Linked DNA regions of Neurospora crassa OR74A. The protein of the gene in region 1 purifies or fractionates together with the protein of each later gene. This does not show direct contact. Links are inferred from orthologs where the notes say so. Each region holds a gene or a part of one and is shown in the gene's direction. Other genes may lie near its edges. The genes, in order: NCU01779, NCU04280 and NCU08707.

Region 1 (3,906 bases):
AAGGAGGGGGGTGGTTTTCCTTGTGGGACTTGTTGCAAGCTACTGAGCAGCTGTTTGTGATGATGAGTACGCATGTTGGGCCTGAGCAGATAAGGGTTTGTTTTGTGAAACTTACTACATAAGCGGGCAGCGCGGACACCTGTACTTCCCTGGCTGCGCTTGACAGACACCACATTGCTTCGCTTCCTTCTTGACAGGTTTTGGTGATGATTCTGGTTCGTCCCCCGGGCTCGGACGTTTTCGTGATGGCGAAGCCGGCTCTTGATTCACTGTTGGCTCCGCGGCTTGTGCCTCTTGCTGCTGGTCGTTTGGCTTTCTCATTACGTAAGTCGGCTCTTTCTTTGGTTCTTGCTCGATCTGAGGTTGTATTATGATGTCTGATTGGTCTTTTGAGCTTGGCTGTCCGTTGACTTGTATAGTATCTTGGTCATTATCCTGGGTGACTGAGGCCTCATCGCGGGCGCCGGCGATGAGCGCCTTCAACTCATCGGCGAACAGTCGCTGGGACTCATCCGAGCCCATTTTCGGACCATCTTCGACGGGCTCGGCGCTCATTGCATGCAAATGATCTCTTAGAAACGCGCGGCTTTCTCAATCCAATGGGCCGAGACCTGGCAATATGTCAATGTCGATAGTGAGGAGCGTGGCGCGCAAAAGGTAAGAGGTGACAGTGAGTGAATGCTGAAAAGCTGTATATTTGTATGATGACACCGTAAAAGTGAAGCCGTACTCGTTGAGTGGAGGCCAGTTTTAGTTTTGTGGCTGGGATATCTCTGAGTGAAGGGTTTCGGTTTGTGAGGTTGAATTGAAATTTTCGAAATGGAAATCGTATCAATATCGCCAAAAGTCGCGATCCGCAGTTTTTGCCAAGCGACCAGGGAAATGCCGATAGGGCGACCAGGACGTGAAGCGAAGGATGTAAGTCGTCGAATATGATTGGCACTCAGCTCCCTCGGTCCAAGCAAAGAAATGCGTTGTCCGTGTGCTGCAAAAAAAAGATGGTGGGACTTGGGCAAAACATCAAAACCTATGGATGAAACTGAATAAACTGCACAACGGGTCCTTCGTTCAGTTCCAAAACCAAAGTCCCGCCACAGTCTCTGATCCAATCAGCGTGGAGGCTGACAAACCACTCCGTCAAAATTGCAGTCAATTGCCCCAAAGGGGAAGCTATGACGCAAAAAGACGGATCAGTTAGAGCTGAAGGTGCATAACACTGGACCCCTGGAGCCGGCATGGCAGTGGACGCATATCGGCGCTAATCGCGTTAGCGTTAGCGGCCGCTGACAATTCCATGCCCGGCACGGCGGCAACATTTCGGAATAGCGGGTATTCTAGTAGTTCTACCAGTAGATGGAATCTGTTTCGGCGTCATTCTTTTTCCCATCCATCTTCCTTTCCCGTCCGAAGTCGCTGTATTTCTTTCTCTCGGCGGCATTCCGACAAAACACCAACACCACCCCACCACCGACGATGCCACTAAATCGACTATTATTACGAAAAGGCCTAGTGCCTCTCGTTTCCAAGTCGACCGTGCGACCCGCCGCGACAACCATCCCGTGTCTGCGCCAAGGTGCTGCCGCTTCTGCTCCCGCCAGCACCAGCACCAGCAGCAGACAAGCGCATACCGGCGCCCGCTCGGCCGCTCGTCCCCGTCTTCAGCAACGGTCATGGGGGGCTCTCAACACCACCCTCGCGCCCCAGCAGCAGCGCCGTACCATCTTCATCCAGACCGAAAACACGCCTAACCCGGACTCGCTCAAGTTCCTGCCCAACCAAAAGGTCATCCCGGACTCGATCAAGACGCCCTTCATCGAGTACATGAACGCGCGTAGCACCATTGCGCCGCCGTACCCTTCGCCGCTGGCCGCGCAGCTCATGAACATCGAGGGAGTCACCTCAGTCTTTTACGGCACCGACTTCATCACGGTGACCAAGTCGGCCGACGCCAACTGGGCGCACATCCGCCCGGAGGTGTTTGCACTCATCACCGAGACCATCACGTCGGGCCAGACGATTGTCAACGTGGTGGAGCGCAACGAAGGGGAGGAATCGACGCAAGAGTCGGACGAGAAGGATAGCTTGGCGTACGACGAGAACGACAGCGAGGTGGTGGGCATGATCAAGGAGCTGCTGGAGACAAGGATCCGCCCCGCGATCCAGGAGGACGGTGGTGATATCGAGTTCCGCGGGTTCGAGGATGGAATCGTCAAGCTCAAGCTGCGCGGAGCATGCCGGACGTGCGACTCGAGCACGGTGACGCTGAAGAACGGAATTGAGGGCATGTTGATGCACTACGTAAGTCTTTCTTCCTCTGGCCGCTGTCTTTTCTCTCCGGCCTGGTCATGGCTTCAACAAACACGTTGCTGACATGCCAAACAACACCCACAGATTGAGGAAGTCCAAGGCGTCGAACAGGTACTTGACCCCGAAGAAGACATAGCATTGCAGGAGTTTCAGAAATTCGAGGAGAAGTTGAGGAAGCAAAAGGGCGAAGTCCCTCCCACCACCGTAGGGAAGGACTCCTTGGATTCTGTCCCTGGCTAATCCGTTTCTCTTGGGGGGGCCTCACTCACTATCTTTCTTAGATTGAAGAACCGTCCTAGAATTCAACCATAAGCTTCTTATGCCATGTCCGTACCGTACCGTACCGTACCGTATCCTCTACTCTTAAAACGGCTCTCGCCCTCAGATATACCCACCGTTGGATATAAACCATACTTGATTCAACCTGGACAGGAGCAGTATACCATAGTACCTCCCCATGTCAACTTGAGCGGATTGAATTTGGTGTCCTTGTTTGTTCCCTTGACCCTTTCCGATTACAGATCGCCTTCCGTGAAATACAAAGTCGATACGAAATCATGCGGGTAGGGAACCCGCAAGGTCGTACAAGCCACTCGGGGTGGTATGTGGAGCATGGGATATGATGGGAGAGAATTGGAAGCTTCCCTGCCCCAACCTCAACCATCTGGATCTAAGCGTAAAGGTGCAATCGATGATCGGTAGGATCAGCCTGTTGACCGGTCAGGGTTCTGGAGGTATCTCGCTGCATGCAGGGTGTCATGCCATATCAAGAATGAACGAAGGGTAGTGGGTGGTCAGGTGCCGATGATTGCCGACACGGCTGCAAAATGCCACCGATACCTCGTGTCGTATGAGTTGGGGTTATGGCGTTGATGTTGGTTGTGTACTGGGTGGGATGGATTTGTGGATGTACGCAGTGAAGTATATATGTGGAGGAATATCGTGAAACAGCTGGTACTCGCCTCTCATGACTTGACAAGGCTTGGGAGCCTCGCAAGTAATGTCTCAAAAAGCAGACACTTCTAGACCTAACAACTTGCAAGTCCTCAGTTTCCAGCAGTGTTTTGTTGTCTCGACTCCACATTTACATAGTTCGATCCTACCTCGGACGGCACGACGGTTTGTAGAGTCTGGGGAAGTGTGTGGATCATCTACCTACTTCTTCGTACATACTAAGTTGCTCAATAGCGAGTCAGCTTTGCTGATGGTATCCATAACATGTTCCAAACACCAATCCGTAGCATGGAGTACGTACTCTCGAGATACTGTACCTCTTTCTGGTGGAACCTCCTTACGCTAGTTGCTCACGTTGTGTGTGTCTAATGATGTCTCCCTTGCCTAGGCTAGGCGCCAGAACGCCTCTCGGTCTGCAGCGAGTTCTGTCTAGGATACTAGGTGTCCTGCACACCGGGTTGCTGCAGCCGGCTTGTTGCCTTACTGGTCAGATAGTAGAGGGTTGATGAGTCTATACTGGTGCACACGCCTATGTTGTTTGTGTGCTTTCGTCTTCACCACAAAGATCATCCCATTGTTTCTGATGGAAACTTTCCGAAAAGTGTTTCAGGGTAACTCGGACTCTCGTAAAGAAATCTTACACGG
Region 2 (4,270 bases), on another chromosome or scaffold:
GGAACCATCCAGCGAAGCTACAACCACGGCTCTCCGGCAAACGACGTTGTCATCCACCCTAATCAGGGAGAGATCATCAGCTGCGACCGCGCCGGAAGCATCCGACTGTGGGATCTGGCCGAGAACACTTGCTCGCACCAGCTAATCCCCGAGGAGGATGTTTCAGTGACAAGTGTCACGGTTGCCAGTGACGGTACACTTCTTTGTGCGGCCAACACTGCTGTAAGTTTTCTCTCCACCGAGTCATTCCTTGCTGTATCTTCCCGATATACTGACACCTCCTTTCTGTCTGCCAGGGCAATGTATTCGTTTGGCAACTCATCCAGGCCTATGACCGCACCCAGCTGATTCCCCTCACCCACTTTTCCGCACACAAGGAAAGCATCACGCGCATCCTACTCTCGCCCGATGTCAAGAAGCTCGCAACGTGTAGCGCCGACCATACGGCCAGGATCTGGGAAGTCAGGGAAATGGAACCTGCCACGGCCGATTCGGAACCGCAGGCGTTCCCCCTCGAGGCCACTCTCAAGGAGCACCAGCGTTGGGTATGGGACTGTGCCTTCAGCGCTGACAGTGCCTACTTGGTAACTGCCTGCAGTGATCATTATGCGCGGCTGTGGGAATTACACACGCAGCTTGTTATCAGACAGTACAACGGCCATCACCGCGGTATTGTATGCGTCGCTCTCAACGATTATTCCGAAGCTCGCTAGTGGGAACTTTTGGATGAAGATGAGGAGACGGCGACAATTTGCAACACGGCTGAAGTGTAGGGCGGCTGCGGAAAGATGTCAATTTTTACGTCTCTATGATGGGCTGTCGATGTAAGAGGAAACGAAGCTGCAAAGTGCAGTGTCATGGCAGGGGCATTTCATATGTGCTATTTTCCCCGGATATCCTTTTTGAGAGCGACTGGCGGGTTGTTTAGTAGAATCGGCTATGGCAATGGCGTTTTATGGTTATGCAAGTAATGTTTTTAGAGTGGAAAATCACACAACGACATGAATTCCCAAGTACGCCCGCCACGCCGTTTCATAACACTTGATACCTGGTAGCAAAAAGTATTGCTATATAACAGTAGACCACATTTCCGTCGGATATAAGAACAATTCAAGATGAAAGCTCGGCCGAAGTCCGTGACTGAGAGAATCGATTAGGAACATACGAGTCATGATTGGCTTGAATAGTCGAAAAGTGGATCAGCTGTGTGTTACGCCCCGGCTTGGCAGATTCAAAGTCAACACTGGTTCAAGGGTACTGCCGGCCTGGAGGGTTTTACTAGTGATCTGGAACTTTTGAGGACTTGCCTGGGCATCTCAGAATTCAGAATTGAAATCAAAGACAAAGCATTCACTTAAAATAGCTGGATGTTATTGGACAAAAAGACAGTTAGCGTACTTCCAGTGTATGTAGTGTACCGCAATCCCCGGATTTGCTGCTTGGGTGGCGGCGGCACTCACAAGTGGAATGGCTCCGTAATTCGGACCAAAGTGAAGATAGTGTAACCGGCAACTTTTCTCTCCTCTTTTCTTTCTCCAAACAACCAAGTTCCCCTTCTGTACAGTCTGTCACCATGAGGTCAATTGATCTCGCCAGTCGCTCAGGCGCTGCCCTGAAGGTAGGCCATTTCCCCGAGGCTCAACCCTGTACAAAATAAAGGGCTACTTAGTGACTCACCAGCGCTAACAAGTCGTCCTTTCTCGTAGCGGGCAATTCAAGCCAAGCAGCTCCCCTCGCGCGTCGCATGCGCTTCGGCCCGCTCCTTTTCTTCCACCTCCTCCAACAACACCGGCGTGCTTCCTCCCAGATATGAGACCCTCTACAACAAGTATTCCGAGGTCCGCCGCGTGCTGGGTTCGCAGCGCCTGACCCTGGCCGAGAAGATCCTCTACTCCCACCTCGACAATGTCGAAGAGTCGCTCCTCTCCAACACCAACGGCGGCCGTGACGTCCGCGGCAAGGCCAACCTCAAGCTCAAGCCCGACCGTGTGAACATGCAGGATGCCTCTGCCCAGATGGCTCTCCTGCAGTTCATGACTTGCAACCTCCCCCAGCCCGTTATTCCTGCCAGTATTCACTGCGACCACTTGATTGTTGGATCCAAGGGTGCCGATGAGGACTTGAAGGCCGGTATTGCCACCAACAACGAGGTTTTCGACTTCCTCGAGTCGGCTGGCAAGAAGTACGGTATCGACTTTTGGCCTCCCGGTGCTGGTATTATTCACCAGACCGTCCTCGAGAACTACGCCGTCCCCGGTCTCATGATGCTCGGAACCGACAGCCACTCTCCCAACGCTGGTGGTTTGACTACCATTACTATCGGTGTCGGCGGTGCTGATGCTGTTGAGGCCCTCGTTGGTGCCCCTTGGGAGCTCAAGGCCCCCAAGATTCTCGGTGTTCGCCTGACTGGCAAGCTCAACGACTGGGTCAGCGCCAAGGATATTATTCTTCACCTTACCGGCCGTCTTACCGTCCGTGGTGGTACTGGCTACATTGTTGAGTACTTCGGCCCTGGTATCGAGTCTTTGTCGTGTTCTGGTTCTTCAACTCTTTGCAATATGGGGTGAGTTCTCCCTAAGCTTTCCCCCTCGCCATTTAGAATGTATTGACTGACCATTGTTGCTACAGTGCTGAGATTGGCGCCACTACCTCAATCTTCCCCTTTACCGAGGCTTCCAGCCGCTACCTCAAGGCCACCAACCGCGAGCAGGCCGATAAGGACGCCAAGAACTTCGAGAACTTCACCAAGGGCACCGGTCAGGACTCGTTCTTCAAGTTCAAGGCCGACGAGGGCGCCCAGTACGATGAGTTGATTGAGATCGACCTTTCCAAGCTCGAGCCCCATATCAACGGTCCCTTCACTCCCGATCTTTCCATCCCTCTTTCCGAGTTCAAGAAGACTGTCCAGGAGCAAAAGTGGCCTGAGAAGCTTTCTGCTGGTCTGATTGGTAGCTGCACTAACAGCTCCTATGAGGACATGACCCGTTGCGAGAGCATTGTCAAGGCCGCCGAGCAGGCTGGTATCAAGCCCGCTTCCGACTTCTACATTACCCCCGGTTCCGAGGGCATTCGTGCCACTCTTGAGAGAGACAACACCCTTCAGACTTTTGAGAAGGCTGGTGGTATTGTCCTCTCGAACGCCTGCGGTCCCTGCATCGGCCAGTGGAAGCGCCAGGATGACATCCCTAAGGGCACTCCCAACGCCATCCTTACTTCCTACAACAGAAACTTCCGCGGTCGCAACGACGGTAACCTCGAGACCATGAACTTCCTCGCCTCGCCCGAAATCGTCACCGCCATGGCCTACGCCGGTTCCACCACCTTCAACCCCATCACCGACAGCCTGACCACCCCCGACGGCAAGGAATTCAAGTTCCCTGCGCCCAAGGGTCTCGAGGGTCCCGAAACCCCCTTCGAAGCCGGCCGCGAGGTCTTCCAAGTCCAGTCGGGATCCCCCAACCCGAACGTGGAAGTCGCCATCTCGCCCTCCTCTGAGCGTCTCGCCCTCCTCGAGCCCTTTGAGCCTTTCCCCGAATCGGACCTCTCCGGCCTGCGCGTGCTCGTCAAGGTCACCGGCAAGTGCACAACCGACACCATCTCCGCCGCCGGTCCCTGGCTCAAGTACAAGGGTCACCTGCCCAACATCTCGGAGAACACGCTCAACACGGCCGTCAACGCCGCCACGGGCGAGGTCAACGTCGCCTACGACCTCGATGGCTCCAAGCACACCATTCCCGAGCTGGCCAAGCAGTGGAAGCAGCGCAACCAGCCCTGGCTCGTCGTTGCCGAGCACAACTACGGCGAGGGCTCCGCGCGCGAGCACGCTGCCCTTCAGCCCCGTTACTTGGGCGCCCGCATCATCGTCACCAAGTCCTTTGCCAGAATCCACGAGACCAACCTCAAGAAGCAGGGTGTCGTGCCCCTGACGTTCGCCAACGAGCAGGATTACGATCTGATCGACGCCGGCGACGAGGTGGCTACTGTCGGTCTGTACGAGATGCTCAAGAACGGTGGCCAGGGCGAGGTTTCCCTCCGGGTTACCAAGAAGGACACTGGCAAGGTGGTGGAGATCAAGACCAAGCATGCGGTTTCCAAGGACCAGGCTGGCTTTATTCTGGCCGGTAGCGCGCTGAACTTGCTCGCCAAGGGTAACTAAGTCGCCCTCATTCGGTCTAGTGCAGCAAGGGGATCTAGGGAGAGGAAGTAAAAGGAAGATGAAAAAGAGGTGGATGATATCCCGAAGCGAGTCGCAAAGTTTTTGATAAGCGTT
Region 3 (3,780 bases), about 1.3 Mb from region 1:
CACTGGCACGAACTCTTCCGCTCTCTTTTGTCCTTGATCCGCTTCCTAACCACGTACGCCTCGGACCTCAAGACCTTGCTAGGTGGACAACAAGGCCAACTCGACACGCTTCTGGATCTGGTAGTCAACACCCTGGCCCTCGGTCTCTCGTCAGGCGAATCGTTCCTGCCGACATCGGCAGCCTACGACGATCTGTTTTACAAGATTGTTGAGATGGGCGATGTGCTGGTCAAGTTCAGGGATGTGTACGGGCTGAAGAAGAGACAGAGTAATAGCATCGATACGTTGGTGAATGTGTCGGCGCACTACAAGGATATGTTGGCTTCAGGGGCTAGTAGTAGTAAGGAAAAGTTGACGAGCGTGCAGGTTGCCGAGGTGATTAAGCAGGGATACGAGACGTTGAGCATTCAGGCTAAGGAGGGACTGGATAGCTGGGAGAGGTTTAGGGAGGCGGATGAGAGGGGGTTGTTGAAGAAGATGGCGAGGGAGGCGGTGGGGGATGTGAGGGCGTTGGTGGGTGGGGAGTGAATGATGTGGATGTGGTAGTGGTAGGGAAATGGTTTGGTTTTTTACACTAATGAGACTGAGATGGAAAAAGGCGTTTGTTTTGTTTAGTTTTGTTTTGTTCTGTTAGCGATGTATGGGATAGATTGTGTTTGAGGATGATGTACACTACCTACTTAATGGCTTGAAGCCCAAATATCCAATCGGCCAATATCAGATGGACTGGACTGAACGGACGAGAACATAGCAGGTACTCTTGTGCCTGATGCGAGTGGGACATGGTATGGTACTACCATCGTGATGGAGACTTGTCTTCTTCTCCAGGGAGCTGTCCCCAGATTTCAACTTTGTGGAGGGGACACACCGACCTACGTGTATGTAGTACACTATAGGGTAGAGAGGAGTGATGTCATTGCCCCTGAGCACGATGGACCCAGCTGTCCTTGTCGTGCCCCTGACTTGACCGAATCAAGACGAAAAGTAAACAAAGGGGTCCATTCCGAACAAGGGGGTTCGAAGCAATCCCCCCTTGATTCCAGGGCTGGAAGTTGATAGGGCGACCAACCAGATAAGGCGCATTTGTTGCCCTCCTCCCCCTTTCCGCTTCCATCCCTTCCATGCCTCCCCTGACAGCTGGACTTCCGGGGGACGTGTGCCCATCAGGGTCCTTCTGTCTGGGGCAAAATGGAAGACCTGGAATGACACTGCAGGAGGGAACGGGCGAGTGGCCTGAGAGATGCGAGTTCCAGAAGTCGATACGGCAAATCCGATGGGTGTGAATGGATGGAGCCCATATAATAAGTGGACCCTCCGTGGCTTACGAAACATGTGGATCGTTCAAGACAGTCAGATTGTCAGCGGGATTCCTAATGGGCGAATGCTGATTGGCCAACTCGGTTACCGGGCGGCTCCGAGGGCCAAGATTGCCATCCCATCACCGTGTCATACGTACCGGCTCAGTTTGCTTGCTCGGCTGACTTGACTTCAGTTGAACTTGGCCCGCACCCAACTGTCGAATTCCCGCCAAGCACAACTGAACCATCATCAGAGGAAGAACAAAGCCGAATTGCCCCGGCTGTTTCCCAACACACAACCTACCTAACCACCAAAAGTCTGGCCTTGTCACAGCCCTATGATCCTGACCTCTGCAATTCCCCTTTCTTCTTCTTCATCTTCCGCCGCCGTACATCATATCACTTCCACCGCCGCCATACTATCGCCGGCTTTCCCGTCTGCGATTGTACATCACACAACAAGCACAACAACAACAACAAGACCACTTCTACTCAAGATGAACGCGCAAAGGATTCTTTCGAGGAGGACGCTCTCGTCCGCCCTCTGCAACAGCAACCGCACCGTCGCTCACGCCCAGCGCCACCAATTCAGCACGACGCCCTCACCCGCCGTCACCGCTTTCCAGTCCTACACTCTTCCCTCGCACCCGCCATCGCCGCCGCGCTCCGGAAATGACTCCATGGCTTTCCCCGTCCAGCCGCCCATGCCGCGCGTACACGAGACAAGACCTCACAAGATTGCGTCGCCACCGAAGCAGCAGCAGCAGCAGCAGCAACAACTAAACAACTTTGCGCAAACGTCACCATCTACATCATCAAGCCCCTCTCAGCCCACCCCCGTTGCTCCCAAGCAAGAACAATCCAAGGCCGCCGCCGCCGCAGCACAAGCCTCCTCCGCCCCCACGCAACCAACGCCCTCCAAGCCCGCCCCCCGCGCCTCCCGCCTGCGCGCCCCTCGCAAGGCCGCCATCAACCTCACGTCCGCGGCTGTCGAGCACCTGCGCGCCATGCTGGACCAGCCGGAGCCGAAGCTGATCAAAGTCGGCGTGCGCAACCGGGGGTGCAGCGGGCTGGCGTACCACCTGGAGTACGTGGACAAGGCCGGGGCATTTGACGAGACGGTGGAGCAAGACGGCGTCAAGGTCTTGATTGACAGCAAGGCGCTCTTCAGCATCATTGGCAGTGAAATGGACTGGGTGGAGGATAAGTTGAGTCAGCGGTTTGTTTTCAGGAATCCTAATATTAGTGAGTTTTTACCCCCCCCTCTTTTCTCCCTCGATGCTGCGGAAAGGAATTGGGATGGGATGGTGGCTAATGAAAGGGAAAACAGAGGAGCAATGCGGTTGTGGAGAGTCATTCATGGTATGAATAAAGGACATGAATGATATTAAATCTCGGTTAAGCTAGGGGTGGGCCGGGCGTGGAAGCCGAAGCGCCTTTCAGCCGGACAGTCATGCGTGACACGACACGACTTTAGAGAGAGCTACGGGACGGTCTTCACTTCAGTGGCTCCCTTGGCGCATCGAGAACGAAGGACCGAAGAGTTATGTATGGAGCTTTCAGAGTCTTTTTGCGTCATTTGTTAGCGCTCGCGCGCTTGGGGGGGTTTTCTTTCGGCGAAAGCATGGGTACTGGCGTTTGGGTAGAGAGCATTATTCCCTTTATTGTTCTTGTTACTTATTTTTTTTCCATTCTGGTAAACTCAGATATGGACGGCTCTATCAAGGGCCTCTTTACTTATCGGTAGTGTTGCTGTATAATTTTTCTCTCTTTTCCCTGTTGCACCACCATTTATACAAGGGAGAGCAATGGAGAGGCTTATCATCATACTTGATATCTGGCACGCATAAATGGTTCATCCCATATTTTGGCTGTCATGATTACATGCATTCTACTGTGTACCTTTTCCTGCGATGCCCTCTAATGACGCATGCTGTGGTTTTTGATGGCTGATTAATCATGACTTCTGACTTCTGTTCGTGCGGCTCAAATGCGGGCACCTGTCAATTTGCCAACGGTCCAGCGGGAGCTACCCCACATGCTTTATGTATCCCCGCCGCAACACAGTTCCCCACCCACCAACACTGCAGCGGCAGGGGGACAACAGCTGTTAACGCGTTCGAAAATCAATTTACGCCCTCCAAACGCGTCTCCCGTCACCCCCAATTTCGCCATTCGACAACCCATTTTTGCTATTCCTCGGGTCATCTTTTGAAATTCCACCGTTCAGACACATTGAGAAGACCAGATTTTGCTTCAGTCTTGCTTTCATCCTACCCACTGACACATGCGACGCCATGGCGGTCACTTGTCCGATATGTAACCAGGCCGTCAAGGGCCTCGACAAAATCAACAGCCACATTGATTCCGGCTGCCAGTCATTCCTCGAGACAGCCGCCGACAGCGCCACCGCCCAAGCTGAACCACAAAGTAGTGGACAACAGAGTACCCAGAACGGAAACCTACCACCAAGTTCAACCCA

The links.
Region 2: the proteins of NCU01779 (region 1) and NCU04280 purify together in Saccharomyces cerevisiae (affinity purification with mass spectrometry; 3 studies listed by BioGRID, with this or other methods). This does not show direct contact. The link is inferred for Neurospora crassa OR74A from reciprocal best matches to the Saccharomyces cerevisiae genes NFU1 and ACO2.
Region 3: the proteins of NCU01779 (region 1) and NCU08707 purify together in Saccharomyces cerevisiae (affinity purification with mass spectrometry; 3 studies listed by BioGRID, with this or other methods). This does not show direct contact. The link is inferred for Neurospora crassa OR74A from reciprocal best matches to the Saccharomyces cerevisiae genes NFU1 and ISA1.

The regions. Positions count from the first base shown.
Region 1 is NC_026502.1:2,466,693-2,470,598, forward strand, and holds NCU01779 (HIRA-interacting protein 5), read left to right. Parts: upstream 1-1,360; 5' UTR 1,361-1,473; coding exon 1,474-2,298; intron 2,299-2,391; coding exon 2,392-2,547; 3' UTR 2,548-3,354; downstream 3,355-3,906. Other genes in the region: NCU01780 (hypothetical protein), read right to left, coding at 1-50, 116-555. UniProt on the Saccharomyces cerevisiae protein: Involved in iron homeostasis within the mitochondrion where it is involved in the assembly of iron-sulfur proteins.
Region 2 is NC_026505.1:5,481,512-5,485,781, reverse strand, and holds the start of NCU04280 (aconitate hydratase), read left to right. Parts: upstream 1-1,413; 5' UTR 1,414-1,573; coding exon 1,574-1,618; intron 1,619-1,706; coding exon 1,707-2,563; intron 2,564-2,628; coding exon 2,629-4,156; 3' UTR 4,157-4,270. Other genes in the region: NCU04281 (WD-repeat protein pop3), read left to right, coding at 1-222, 297-713. UniProt on the Saccharomyces cerevisiae protein: Catalyzes the reversible dehydration of (R)-homocitrate to cis-homoaconitate, a step in the alpha-aminoadipate pathway for lysine biosynthesis.
Region 3 is NC_026502.1:3,750,489-3,754,268, reverse strand, and holds NCU08707 (iron sulfur assembly protein), read left to right. Parts: upstream 1-1,199; 5' UTR 1,200-1,636; coding exon 1,637-2,543; intron 2,544-2,628; coding exon 2,629-2,666; 3' UTR 2,667-3,245; downstream 3,246-3,780. Other genes in the region: NCU08708 (hypothetical protein), read left to right, coding at 1-528; NCU08706 (AAA family ATPase), read left to right, coding at 3,596-3,780. UniProt on the Saccharomyces cerevisiae protein: Involved in the assembly of mitochondrial and cytoplasmic iron-sulfur proteins. Probably involved in the binding of an intermediate of Fe/S cluster assembly.